Anolis sagrei: one gene and its partner. The protein of the gene in region 2 purifies or fractionates together with the protein of the main gene of each other region. This does not show direct contact. Links are inferred from orthologs where the notes say so. Each region holds a gene or a part of one and is shown on either strand. Other genes may lie near its edges.

The links.
Region 1: the proteins of EN1 (region 2) and transducin-like enhancer protein 1 purify together in Homo sapiens (affinity purification with western blotting; 4 studies listed by BioGRID and IntAct, with this or other methods). This does not show direct contact. The link is inferred for Anolis sagrei from reciprocal best matches to the Homo sapiens genes EN1 and TLE1.

The regions. Positions count from the first base shown.
Region 1 is NC_090022.1:227,808,703-227,816,386, reverse strand, and holds the start of transducin-like enhancer protein 1, read left to right. Parts: upstream 1-4,668; 5' UTR 4,669-5,368; coding exon 5,369-5,440; intron 5,441-7,684. UniProt on the Homo sapiens protein: Transcriptional corepressor that binds to a number of transcription factors. Inhibits NF-kappa-B-regulated gene expression. Inhibits the transcriptional activation mediated by FOXA2, and by CTNNB1 and TCF family members in Wnt signaling.
Region 2 is NC_090021.1:218,099,187-218,106,303, reverse strand, and holds the start of EN1 (homeobox protein engrailed-1), read left to right. Parts: upstream 1-4,096; 5' UTR 4,097-4,845; coding exon 4,846-5,728; intron 5,729-7,117. UniProt on the Homo sapiens protein: Required for proper formation of the apical ectodermal ridge and correct dorsal-ventral patterning in the limb.

The sequences.
Region 1 (7,684 bases), on a different chromosome or scaffold from region 2:
GATGAGCACCACCCCCCAGAGTCTGACAGGACTAGACTTAATGTCAAGGAGAAACCTTTATTTTTACCCATGGTGCCCTTTTACTATGAAATGATTCTTCTGGATGTCTCCTCAGGTTGTTTTCTACACTGTTTTTACAATCTCTTCTGAAGCCCTAATGAAGTGCAGGGACAGGAATGTGGTGGCTTGATGGCACCATAGCAAATCTTCTCTGAAAGGGGAGGACAGGATTCCAATAATGATTGGAGTGCAAGTCCCAGCATTCCCATTGCAGGCAAAGGACAATGGGAGCTCTGGAGTCATTCCTGCCCTGGCCTATCTACACTGTATAATTAGTGCAGTTTAACAGCCATGGCTTTGTATTATGGAATCTTGGGATATGTAGTTTGGTGAGGTACCAGCACTTGTTGGCAGAGAAGGCTAAATGCCTGTAAAACTACAGCTCTCATGATTTCACAGCACCGAGCCATGGCAGTTAACATGGTGTTAAACTGCATTCATTCTATCTCAAAATGCATTCATTCTACAGTATAGACGCACCCTAAGACTTTGTTTACCTTTGCAAGTTCTTCAAGGGGTGGGAGGATCAACACAGCGCCTGGACAGGGAAGCTTACAAAGGATGAGTCAGTCTGCACTGAGATTTAATTTTAATCCCTTAAAAGATAGTCCTTTAAAAGATAATCCCTTTTAAAGAAAACAAGGCCATGGACTAGTTAAGAATCTCTGACGAGGTCGTCTGCCTGAATATTCGAGAAATGTAGTTTCTTGTTTCTTCAGAGTTAATAATAATAATAATAATAATTATTTATTTATTCCCTGCCACCATCTCCCAAAAAGGGACTCACGATGGGTTACAAGCACACAATGGTGCCATACAACATATAAAATACAATATAGCAAAATTAAAACCAGCAACACATTTAAAACGAAACATATAAAAATAACAAGATCAATAGAATCAATAAAATATAGCAATGGTCATTAATTAAAAGATCCATACAGCCAATTTAGCCTTCCCTGGTAAAAGATCGTGGTCTGGCTGCAATCTTAAAAATAGGCCTAATACTATACAACTGCTGAAAACTCTATGTTGACGATATTAATATTGAAATATAGCAAAGAAAGAAAGAAAGACAAATACAGTACAGACAAACTGAATGTTAGCACACTTTTACAGTAACATACATACATACATGCATTTTAATGTTTATTTAAAGTGTGATTTCTTCTATTTTTTGTCACTTGCTTAAAAGTTCAGATTGAGAGTACTGGTTAGCTGAGAGTATGCGAGCATTTGTATTATAAATACGAGTGTGTGTGTTTATGTGTACATGTATATATGTGTGTATGGACCCCCTGGTGCCGCAGTGGGTTAAACCACTGAGCTGCTGAACTTGCTGACCAGAAGGTTGGCTGTTTGAATTTGGGGAGCAGGGTGAGCTCTCGCTGTTAGGCCCGGCTTCTGCCAACCTGATTTCTTCTCTTTCCCTTAGATCCATACGAACTCTTAAAAGACTCCAGCAGCTGCAGTGATCCTTAGATCTGTGAACACTTTCAATCAGTCCTTTGTTTAATAGCAAACAATTGCTCATGTAGCTATTTAAAAGTTATTATTATGCAGAATATTTAGCTATTACTGAAATAAGCATGATCTCTGAATTATGACCTTCTATTCTGTATGAAGGGGCTATGGTGGTGCAGCAGGTTAAACTGCTAAGCTGCAGAACTTGCTGACCAAAAAGTCAGTGGTTCAAATTCAGGACGGGATGAGCTCCCGCTATTAGGCCCAGCTTCTGCCAACCTAGCAGTTCTAAAACATCCAAATGTGAGTAGATCAATAGGTACCACTTCAGCAGGAAGGTAATGGTGCTCCATGCAGTCATGCTAGCCACATGACCTTGGAGGTGTCTACAGACAACTCTGGCTCTCCGGATTAGAAATGGAGATGCGCACCACTCCAAAGGGTAAAGGGGAAACCTTTACTCTCTCTCTCTCTCTACACACACACACACACACACACACATATACACATATACACATACACACTCCTACCTGGATAGTTTGAATCATGTGTTGTGTTCATTGTATTTTAATCTCTGCTCTGTGTATTTTTAATATTGGCATTTTGCAGAAATACATTTTAATATGTGTATTTTATATAATGTTTGTGATGATTATGTGTTTTTAGCTATGTTGTAGCCCACCTTGAGCCACGAGGAGAGGTGGATAAGTAATAAAATGGTGATGATAATGATTATTATAATTATATGGGATGTTAGGTTAGATCAGACATAGGCAAACTTCAACCCTCCACATGTTTTGGACCTGCTGTTAGGAATTGTGGGAGTCAAAGTCCAAAACACCTGGAGGGCTGAAGTTTGCCCATGCCTGGTGTATATGTATGTACAGTAGAGTACATTATTATAGTATCATTATTACAAGATTAAAGTGGTGGTCAGTAGCCAGTCCTAGTTCACAACACATTGGTTGCCAGTCTGTGGCAAAGGACTAGAGAAAAAGAAACCCAAAATGCAACAACAATAATACAGTAGCAACCTGTACTACCTTTTCATGAAGGATTAGTTGAATCAGCCCTGGAAGACCCAAAAGAATATATTTCCAACAAGATACCCTCAAGCAAAGCAGCACATACAGTAGAGTCTTGCTTATCCCACGTAAATGGACCAGCTGAACGCTGGATAAGCGAAAACGTTGGATAATAAGGAGGGATTAAGGAAATGCCTATTAAACATCAAATTACATCAAGATTTTACAATTTAAGCACCAAAACATCATGTTTTGCAACAAATGGACAGAAAAGGCAGTTCAATATATGGTAATATTATGGAGTAATGGCTGTATTTATAAATTTAGCACCAAAACATTGCAATGTTTTGAAACAGCGGTGGATCCGGGTGGGAGGCAGACTGCGTTTTATTTATTTATTTCCTATATTTATACCCCACCCTATATTTATATCCCCCCGAAGGGATAATACAGAACGTTGGATGAGCGAAGGTTGGATAAGCGAGACTCTACTGCAACTGTTCTCAAATGAGCTTGTTCAATTATCAGGAATTCTGGGAGTTGAAGGCTCAAACAGTTGGAGGGCCGCAGTTTTTAGGAGGAGCCTCCCCAGAATAATGATCCCATTGCACTTTGTCCGCCAAAGCACTTAATATTTTTTAGGTCTGCTTGTATGTTTTCCACAAACGCCCCATCACTTTTTGCGCCCATATTCCAGCATTATTTTCAATTTTAATTTTACATTTGGCCTTCCCATCGTTTTTAATCGTGTGGTCTTATTGTTAATGTTGCATTATTGTATTGTCCATGTTTTTTATTTTAATTGCTTGTATTGTTGTTATTATTGCTTGTATTGTTGTATTTGGGCTTGGCCTCATGTAAGCCGCACCGAGTCCCTTGGGGAGATGGTAGTGGGGTACAAATAAAGTGTTATTATTATTATTAGTTTGAGGATGCCTGCTCCCAGGCATGTGGGGGGGGGGGGGGGGGCCTCAGGGGGCTTCAGCCCCCCCCCCCCCCCGGAAATTCTCATGGTGGTTCGCAAAAAGGCCTTACTGGTGCATTATTTAAACTGTTATGTTTATTGATATCATGATCTGATCACCATACTCAATATATCCCATATGCATGGGGGTACTGAAGTAACGATACAAAAGGTTTGCTAGGGTAGACCCTCTTTCACTCAGACTCAGCCTGAAAAAAATTCAGCCCCCCCCCCCCCCCCACGAAATCCTGGCTACGGGCCTGCCTGCTCCACTATATATATATATATATATATATATATATATATATATATATAATGAAAGTATATATAAATGTATAGGTAAAGGTATTCCCCTGACATTAAGTCCAGTCATGTCCGACTCTGGGATGCGCTGCTCATCTCCATTTCTAAGCCGAAGAGCCTGCGTTGTCCATAGACACCTCCAAGGACATGTGGCCAGCATGACTGCTTGGACCGCCGTTATAAATATAAATGTGTTCACAGAGAGAGATATATATGTAAACGGGGCCTCATTCCTCTTGGTGGCCCTCTGGTTCCTTCTGACAAACGGAAGGGGAATCTCTTCTGCCTCCTTTCGTCCTTCCATCCGCTTAAACAGGGCAGCCTCCACCTGGCTCCTCCAGCCCTTGCCTGTCCTGGACCAGGGATGCATTATTTATCTCCCTGTGTTATTTCCACAGATTTCGAGAGAGAGAGAGAGAGAGGGAGCCGGGCAAGGTAAAGGAATAATAATAATAAAAGAGAAAGCGGGGCGGAGGTGGAGGGGAGGAGGAGGAGAGCCCCATATAGTCATCTCTTTCTCTCTCCTTCTCCTTCTTTCTCTCTCACTGCCCCACGTTACTTTGATTGACACCTCCGCCTCGCCACTCTCCTTCTCCCCGACCTTCCCCTGTCTGAGCGTTCCACCGCCTCCCATTGGCTCGCTCGGAGGGGTCCTGCCGCTCAGCCTCGCTCAGCCTCGAAAGCCTTCCTCGGAAAAGGAGGAGGGGCGGGGACAGAGTCGGGGCGAAGGGGGCGGCGTTGAGTTGCCAAAGCGGCCCTCTCATTGGTGTCCCGTCACAGCCCCACGTTGGTACCCGAGCACCCCATTGGCTGCGATCCGCTTTCGGGGCGGGGCCGAGGAGCCTGGTTAGCTCGAGGAGTGTGAAACCGCGTGTTAATGTAACCAGCGCGGGCGGAGGAGACGTTGGGTGCCGTTTATTGAGTTGCGTTGTCCCGCGGAGTTCTTGCTCTCCCTCCCTCCCTCCCCTCCCCCCTTTTGTCCTTTTCTATTATTTCGGATCTATTTCGTATCTGATTCCCTTGCTTTGGATGTGTGTTTCCGAGGGAACGAACTTGAGGGAAAGAAGAAGAAGGAGACGAGAGAGAGGAGCGGCCCGACGGGGATGAGGCGGCTTCTGCTCCTGCTGCTGCTGCGGCGCCTTTCTCTCCTCGCTTTGGGATAATAACCCCAGTGTGGCCTCGGCCTTGCCTTGGACGGCGCGGGGCTTTTGTTTGGTGGTTTGGAGCCGTGTTGGGAGATCCTCCATATTTGATTCCTTCGGGGAAAGAAAGAAAACAAAACAGCCTCGCTTTTCGTCCCGTTTCCTGGCTTGTTAAGTTGGAGCCGAAGGCAAGGCAAGAGAGAAGGAAAGAAGGAAGGAAGGCCGCGTCTCGCTCTCTCCGGGTTCGAAGCCCGCTCTGGGCCTCTTTTCCCCTCTTGAAGGAAGGAAGGAAGGAACAAAGGCGCCGGGAGGATGCGGAGCCGCAGAGGCTGAGCGCCAGGGCTTCGCTTCGGGCCTGAAAACTTCGGAAGGAGGAGGAGGACTTGGGGAGCTGCCTTTCCCCCACAGCCATGTTCCCCCAAAGCCGGCACCCCGTAAGTGGCCCCCGCTCTCCCCACCAACACGCGTGTCTTCTCTATAATGTAACGTATATCCTAACTACCCTTTACCTCTGGGATGGTGATGGTGGTGACTGATCATAATATTATTGTGCGGGCAATGCTTCCCGTAGAAATGGATAAGCGCGCATGAACCTTGGAAACTTCAATCCCTTTGAAACATTATGGGTCCTCCCTCCAGGGAGTTTTGGACTCGGCCGAGGGGGAAAAGGAAGGGGCCTGAGGCTGTTAGGAATGGTGGGAGTTGGAGTCAAAAACTCCTGGAGGGAGGGCCCAAGTTGGACCATGCCTGGTGTAGATGTGCCCCGAGAAAACTACAACTCCCGGGATCCCAAGCTGCATTCACAGTGTAGAATGATTCACCCATTGGGATACTAAAATATCCCTCAACTAGTGTGTGTGTGTGTGTATCACCCATTGGGATACTAAAATACCCCCAAACTAGTGTGAGATATATATATATATATATATATATATATATATATATATATATATTATATGTATATATATGTATGTATGTGTATATGTATATATGTATAGTATGTGTGTGTATCACCCATTGGGATACTAAAATACCCCCCAAAGTAGTGTGCATATATATATTACCCAAACTAGTGTGTGTGATATATATATAGTATAAATATCAGGCATGGACAGCATTCATAGAATCATAGAGTTGGAAGAGACCTCATGGGCCATCCAGTCCAACCCCGTGCCTAGAAGCAGGAATATTGCATTCAAAGCACCCCTGACAGATGGCCATACAGCCTCTACAGTGTGGAATGATTCACCCATTGGGTTACTAAAATGCCCCTCAACTAGTGTGTGTGTATAGTATATATATGGTGTGTGTGTGTATATATATATAAGGCATGGGCTTCATTCACTCTACAGTGTAGAATCAGTCACCCATTGTGATACTAAAATACCCCCAAACTAGTTTGTGTGTGTGCGCGCGTGTGTGTATAGAGAGAGACAGAGAGGGAGTGTACATACATTATCAGTCATGGGCTACATTCACTCTATAGTATAATGACTCACCCATTGGGATACATACTAAAATATCCCCCAAACTAGTGTGTCTCTGCATGTGTACAGATAGAATACACACATAGTATATATATCAGGCATGGGCCAGTTTGGGCCCTTGGTGTGTTTTGGACTTCAACTCCCACAATTCCTAACAGCCTCAGGCCCTTTCCTTTTCCCCCTCAGCCGCTTAAGCAAGTGGGGTTTATCATCTATCTATCTGTCTATTTGTGGAATAATGTCTAGGGTGCTTAAGCGGCTGAGGTGGAGATAAGAAATGGGCCTGAGACTGTTAGGAATGGTGGAAGTTTGAGTCCAAAACCCCTGGAGAGTCCAAGTTGCTCCAAGTTGGCATATGCTATGGCATTATATAGATGTGGTATTGGAGCAGGTCACTCGAATGCTTAATATTTGGTTGGGAATTGTTTGGTGGGGGGATTTTGAAACATTGGACTGCTGAGAGATCTTGGAGGTGGGACCCAAAGCCTGAACATGAAATTAATTGCTGTTCCATACATATGCACTTAGTCTGAAGTTACTTTTCTATGCAGTGTTTTGTATTTTAAAATGGAGGTAATTTTCTATACAATATTTTTTGTGCATGGAACAAAGTTTGGGTATGCCCGAGGCACCCAGAAGCAAAGGTGTCTGTCACTCAAGACACCCGTGGGATGTTTTTGGAGTTTGGAGCATTTCGGATTTTCTAACAAGGGATTCTCAATCTCTATAACATTTACTCTTCCAAATAACAACGACAACAACAAATCTTTATTTATATCCTGTTTTTCTCCCTCACGGGACCCAAAGTGGCTTACAACATATTACAACGTATAAATGCATTTACTTCGCCTTTAAACAAGCACTTTAGTTGCTGTGATGTCGAAGGCTTTCATGGCTGGGATCACTGGGTTGCTGTGGGTTTTCCAGGCTGTAGGTCCATGTTTCCGGAAGCATTCTTTCCTGACTATTCCAAGGCTATTCAGTGCTAATCAAGGTGGCCAATTGCAACATGCACACTTGCCTCCATAAGATGAGAGTTCTTTTCTCCCACCCTGGACATTACTCCACAGATATATAAACCCCACTTGCCTTGTTTCCAACAAAGCTCACAACAAGCTCACAACCTCTGAGGATGCCTGCCATAGATGCAGGCAAAACGTCAGGAGAGAATGCTTCTGGAACATGGCCATGCAGCCCGGAAAACTCACAGCAACCCACTGTAGCTGCTGTTCCACAAAA
Region 2 (7,117 bases):
AGAGCCCCTCCACACAGCCATATAACCCAGAATATTAAGGCAGAAAATCCCACAGTACTGTCATAGATCCCAGTTTAAAAGAGATCATGTGAGATTTTATGCAGCTGTGTGGAAGGGGCCTGGGTGAACTAAAATACAAATAAAACCCAGTTTGGGGTTTTATTTGTATTTTATTTGTATTTTTAGAGAAGAGGAATTAAATGAGAAGAATGTAAGCACGGTCAGATGTTGAACACTCAGGGCCCTTCCACGCTATCCTCTATCCCAGAATATCAGGGCAGAAAATCCCACATTATCTGAGTGTGGACTCAGATATCCAAGTTCAAAGCAGATATTGTGGGATTTTCTGCCTTGATATTCTGGGATATAGGACTGTATGGAAGGGCCCTCAGATATATGCCTACTTAAAATGAAACAGACATGGTTTTGCAGTGGTTTTGAATGTGAACTAAAATATAACTAAACCCCAGTTTTAGGATCTAAGTGGGAGGGTACTAAACTAGAGGAGTTTGGACATTGGGTGCGTGAATCTGGGCCCTTCCATATAACCACATAACTCAGAATATCAGAGAAGAAAATCCCACAATATCTGCTTTGCACTGAGGTCTCTGAGTCCACACTGCCATATATTTCAGTTCCAAGCAGGTAATGTGGGATTTTATTCAGCTGTGTTGAAGGAGCCTGAGATATAATGTACATATATCGGTTTGATAGTTATTTTTGAAACTGGTCCCTTCGCAGCTATTCCTGAAATAAGTCTACTAAGACTTTTTTAATGTGCGAAGGAAACCTTTCTTGGGATCCCAAGGGGCCCTTCCACACAGCCCTATATCCCAGCATATCAAGGCAGAAAAACCCACATTACCTGAGTGTGGACTCAGATAACACAGTTCAAAGCAGCTATTGTGGACTTTTCTGCCTTGATATTCTGGGTGCCTTTCCACACAGCCTTCTATCTCAGAATATCAAGGCAGAAAAACCCACAATATCTGCTTTGAACTGGGTTTTCTGAGTCCACATTCAGAAAATGTGGTATTTTCTACCTTGATATTCTGGGATATAGGGCTATGTGGAAGGGCCCAAGAAAAAATGTCTAAAAATGTTGGCAATTCCTCCGTCTTTCTTTGTTTCCTTCTTTATCCCGCCTTCAATAGCAGAACAGGCGCAAGAAGCACAAAATGGAAAGGGCCCGAATTGTCAATTACAAATCAATTTCTAAACTAGGAAGGAAGGGGGGGGGGCTATTAAGCCGGTCACGTGGTGCAGAGGTTTTCCTCTCCCCCTCCTCTTCCTCTTCCACCAGGCAAACAGCTTCGGAGGGGCTTTCCTCTTCCACCCACGAGTGTTTATGGACCCCTGCAACCGGCGTGGAGGCCTTGGGAAAGGAGCCACTCAGGCTCATAAATCGCCACCCCGGCGCTTCGGCGAAGAGTGTGACGCCTGTGAAAACAGAAAGAAAGGAAAAACCACCCCATCCATCCTCGCAGAGAGTGGAGCATGTCTGCCATAAATGTGGACGAAACGTCAGAAGAGAATGCTTCTGGAACATGGCCGTACAGTCTGGAAAACTCACAAGCAACCCAGTTGCGATCTTCCTGAACGGTGTGATGTTCGCCGTGGCCTTTGCAAACAGTGCACGGTGAGCCTTTCAAAAAGGAAGAATATCCTCCAGGTTCCAAGAAATAGCCTCTTTGGAACATAAACAGAAGGGGAAAAAGAAAGACAAAATACCCGTCTTGGAGGCGATCCGTACAAAAAAAAGAGTATTTTTTGCAGAAGGAACCGTTTCCGCCGCCTTGGAAGACAAAAAAGAAGAGGGAAAAGAGAGAAGAAGAGCGGTACCAGCCTTCAAGGTGAATGCCTTGTTGCAGAACTCTGCGCCGCCAAGAAACAACAGCAGATCTAGCTTGTTTTAGAATCTGAATAAACTCACTCTAGGATGGTCCGGATTGGTGTGATTATTAGTTTTGATTCTGGGTTTGCGGGGTTTTGGAGGGCGAGAGGTTTGGGTGCTAGTCGCTCAGCGTCGCCTAAAGTCCTCAGTTCATCCTCGTTGGGTTTGGTGACCGAGGTTTGGGGGAGAATGTTATTAAATAGGTCCTTCCCCTGCAAAGGATTCGCGGGCTCCTTCCAAGCTCACCTGTTCAGGTATTAAATCGAATGGAAGAGAAGGGCTGCCGCTCTTGGAAAGAGCCGAGGCTTGGTATTCACCCCAGGCGTTGCAGAGGGAGCACGACAAAACGAAACGGGCTCCATGCCGATTGTTTTCAATGGCAGGCAAGGAAACGACAAGAACCTTTCACACTAGAGAATGAATCCACTTTAAATCTGGTTTCTGCTTCCTGCAGAATTCTGAGGTTTGTAGTTCAGGGAAGTAGATTTTAACAGCCTCACTAAGCTACAAACCCCAGAATTCTGCAGGAAGCAGAAACCGGGTTTTGAGTGGATTCATTCTCTAGTGTGCTGAGCGAAGAACCCAGTGAACGACTCAGTGGTCAAGGCTGTGTTGGCGAACTGTCAGCTCAGAGGAACCCAGGCAATTCTTGCGATGTGCCCTGAAGTCCGTTCTAACTTATGGCGGTCCTCTCGTAGGTTTTGCTCTGGCGAGATGTGTTCAGGCCTTCCTCTGAGGCCGAGAGAGTGTGACTTGCCCAGTGGGTTTCCATAGTCGAGGGGGATTCAAACCTTGGCCGCCAGAGCTGCAATGTAAAGCTCAAAACACTGCCCAATGCTCTCGGATACATTTCCTCGTTTGAAAACCAGTCGAACTGGGAAATTCGGGCTTTTAGTGAGTGCATAGACTTGTCACAAGCCAGCTTGAGATCTCTTTTTGCCCATACTCCTCCATACCTTTCTTCCTCTGGTTTCAAAGGGGCTTCCTCTAAGGTCCACATATGCCTAGGTATATAATGTAGTCTTTGGGCTTTGAGCAACCATTAAACTCACAAAGGAATGTCACGCATTGGGTCTAGAAAGAGCTCACCGCTGGTTTAACAACAACAACAACAACAACAACAACAACAACAACTTTATTTACAACCGGCCCTATCTCCCCAAAGATATATCTTTCTTCAAATATAGACACTTTAGAATAATAATAATAATAATAATAATAATAATAATTTATAACCCTCCCTATCTCCCCAAGGATATATTTTTCTTCAAATATGGAAACTTAACAACAACAACAATACTTTATTTATAATTCTCCCAATCTCCCCAAGGATATGTTTTGCTTCATATATAGAAACTTAATAATAATAATAATAATAATAATAATAATAATAATTTATTTATAACTCTCCCTACCTCCCCAAGGATAGATTTTTCTTCAAATATGGAAACTTAATGATAATAGTACTTTATTTATAACCCTCCCTATCTCCCCAATAATATGTTTTGCTTCACATAAAGACACTTAATAATAATAATAATAATAATAGAAGAAATAATAATATTTTATTTATAACCCTCCCTGTCTCCCCAAGAATATGTTTTGCTTCACATAAAGGCACATAATAATAATAATAATAATAATAATAATAATTTATTTATAAACCGCCCTATATCCCCAAGGATATATTTTTCCTTAAGTATAAAAACTTTAGTTGTAGCATTTTGCAATGAATGAGGAGGAGGAGGAGGGGAAAGAGGAAGGCTTCTATTAGATGTGATTATTATTATTATTATTATTATTATGCACAGAAGTCACACAAGCATACATACAAGTTCTCTCTCGGAGTTTGGAAAAGTTCTTTATGGCGTTGATTGGACATATTTTTATTTTCCTTGATTGGGGAAGAAGAGCTTCAAATGCAAAGATCTTCCCTCGGCAAGAAGGCAAAGGCGAGAGAGAGAGAGAGAGAGAGTGTGTGTTGAGCAAAGGATGCGCCAAAGGGAGAGTATTAGAAACCTCTCCTTCTCTTTCTCTCGGAATTAGCCAAACCCCTCGGCTAATCTATCTGCAAAGTTCCGAGGCAGCTTATTGGCTGACGTCAGGGGCGTCACAGAATTCCCCTGCTCCTGATTGGCCCTTTCCACGTGCGGGCCATCCTCACGTGCTTCCGGTTGGAAAGGAAAAAAAGTGTGGCTGAGCGATTTTTTTAGGGAGAGTTTGTGGCAAGATCGGAGCTGTCAGAGATTTTTTTTTTGGCGCGCGGGGGGGGTTTGCCTTTATTTATATATATAATATAAATATATATTAAGGCGAAGCGCAGAAGGAAGGAAAGATTGAAGGCGGGGTGTAGATTCAGGGGCTGAGGAAGGAGAGAAGGTAGAAGAGGAAGGGAGGAGGAAAAACAAGAAGGATTAAAAATACGGAATGCACGTGCGATCCGGCGATTAAATCCTCCTCCTCCTCCTCCGCGGGCAAAGCCGAGCCTGACACTTGGGGGAAAGCCCCGCCAGAGGATGGGTCGATGGTGAGGAAGACTTTGGGGGAGGGGGCGGGGTTTTGAGGGGTGCTGGTGGTCTTTGCTTCCCCTCTTTTAGCCCCCCTCCCTTTTTTGGGGAGAAAGGGGGAGCCCAGAGAGAGAGAGCGAGAGAGAGAGAGAAATATAACTGCAAAAAAAGGGGGCGAATCGCTCCAAATGGATCTCTCTCTCTAGACCCCCTGCTCCGAGCCAACAAGTGGATTTGGTTTTGCCTTGGACACTCGGGCGGTGCTTTTGTTTTTGTTTTCCCTGAAGAAGAAGCTTACAATTGAATTGGAAGCAAGGGGAAGAAGAAATCAGCACCACTGCCGTCCGGAGAAGGAGGGAAGAAAACAGAAACACAGAGAGAGAGAGAAAGAGAGAGAGAGACAGAGCCAAGCCTGGCGCTTTCCGGCGGAGGTGGCGGCTGACTATGGAAGAGCAGGCGGACCCTAAAAGCCAGCGAGAGCCTGCTCCCACCACCACCACTACCACCAGCAGCGCCACCAGCAACACCAGTACCGCCGGCAGCACCAGCAGCAGCGATGGGGAAAGCCTCCCGGTCTCTCCCAGCAGCACGGGAAGCGGCCACCCGCCCTTGTCTCCCGCCGCCGCGCCCTGCCTCGTCTCGGTGGCCCATCATCATCCCCACCACCATCACCACCACCACCAGCACCACCAGCATGCCCTCCAAGCGCAACAACGTCCGCCGCCGCCGCCTCCTCCTCCTCCGCCACAACGCACCACCAACTTCTTCATCGACAACATCCTGAGGCCGGACTTTGGCTGCAAGAAGGAGCAGCAGCAGCAGCTCTTGATCCTCTCTGGAGGAGGAGGAGGAGGAGGAAGTGGAGGAGGAGGAGGAGGAGGCCGGGAGAGAGACCTAGACCGCGCGGGCAGCTCAGGTAGAGAAAACGTCAACCCACTGCTGGGGGGCAGGACCCCCAACCCGGCCTCCTCCTCTTCCTCCTCCTCCTCCTCCTCGGTGCTCCTTAGCACGGAGTCAGAGACGGGCCCCTCAGCCATCGGCTCCACCGCCGCCTCCAAAGCCAGCCCCACCGCCAAGCCCCCTTCCTCCTCCTCCTCCTCTTCCTCCTCCTCTTCCTCCTCCTCCTCCTCTTCCTCCTCCTCCTCCTGCTGCTCGGAAGGCAGCGGACCTCACCCGGCGAACTATGGGGAGCACGCCAACCCGGCCATCCTGCTCATGGGCTCCAGTAATGGAGGGTCCGCCGTGGGGGCCAAGGGCGACGGGAAGCAGCCGCTGGTTTGGCCGGCCTGGGTTTACTGCACGAGGTATTCAGACCGACCGTCCTCCGGTAAGAATCCCTCCTCGGAGAAAACCCGCCTCGCCCCTCGCCTCCCCCTTCCCTTCCTTGCCCTGCTCGCTTCGCCCCTTCGCCTCCAGCCCCCATGGAGAAACCGAGCCAGGCCTCCCCCTTCCCGGCGCCCTGCTTGCTTGGCCCTTCCCGCTCCCTCCCTGTCTTTGAGTCCTGTCCTTGTCACCGGTGGGGGGCGGGGGTACAAGTTCCTTTTGCCCCCGAGGAGACCTGTGGGGTGTTGATTTGAAAAGGGGGAGCCCCAAAGAAGAAACAACAAGGCCACTCCGCCATCTGCCCATCCTGCTTCTTCCCTGGATTAGAGAGTGTCCAAGGGCACTTCCACGCAGCCCTATCTCCCAGAATATCGAGGCAGAAAAATCCCACAATATCTGCTTTGAACTGGGTTATCTGATGGGAATTCCTGCCTTGTTATTCTGGGATATAGGGCTGTGTGGAAGGCCCCAAAGTCCAAACTCAGATAATGTGGGATTTTCTGCCTTGTTATTCTAGGATATAGGATCAGTTTTGCCCTTTTCAACCTGTTTTATTTCCTCCCAAGTTTATCACGATGGCCCGGGTCTCAGGGCTCGGTTGAGAGGTAGCGTCCACACGCCCTTGTTATGCATTTATTCTTCTTTTAAGAAGGATCTGTATCATAGAAGAGACCCATGGGATGCAAAAAGGATGCAAAAGGGATGCAAAAGGGAAGACCGTCTTCTAGACAAAGCTGTGCTTACTAGGGCCCCGTTTAGACTAACCATTGAGTGCCATTCGTAGCTATTTTCAAACTCCCACCAAAAAGAGGAATGAACACAAGAAAGCCCATACGCATCACTGCTTTGCAGTTTGTGCCGTCACTTTCGGGGCCTCACACTCGATCCAGGATTTCCTAAGCATTTTCCAGAATACTGGTTGGAAAAAAAGCATCAAATGACTTTAGAGGCCAATGCTTTCCCCGCCATTGTAGAATTTTTTTTAAAGGCTTTAAATTGAAATTTTAAAATAGATGTGTTGTCGAACGCTTTCATGGCAAGAGTCCCTAGGTTGCTGTGAGTTTTCCGAGCTGTATGGCCATGTTCCAGAAGCATTCTCTTCTGACGTTTCGCCCACATCTATGGCAGGCATCCTCAGAGGTTGTGAGGTCTTTTGGAAACTCGACAACAAACTCTAACCACAACAAAGACGACAATGTAGTGGGTGCATAGAGACCTCACAACCTCTGAGGATGCCTGCTATAGATGTAGGCGAAACGTCAGGAGAGAATGCCATTACAACCCGGAAAACTCACAGCAACCCAGTTAAAATAGATGGCTTGAGAAGGCCCAACGGGGAAACGCTCCATGCAAAGATCTGCTCGGGAGACGGAGACCAAATCCCTCGTATTTC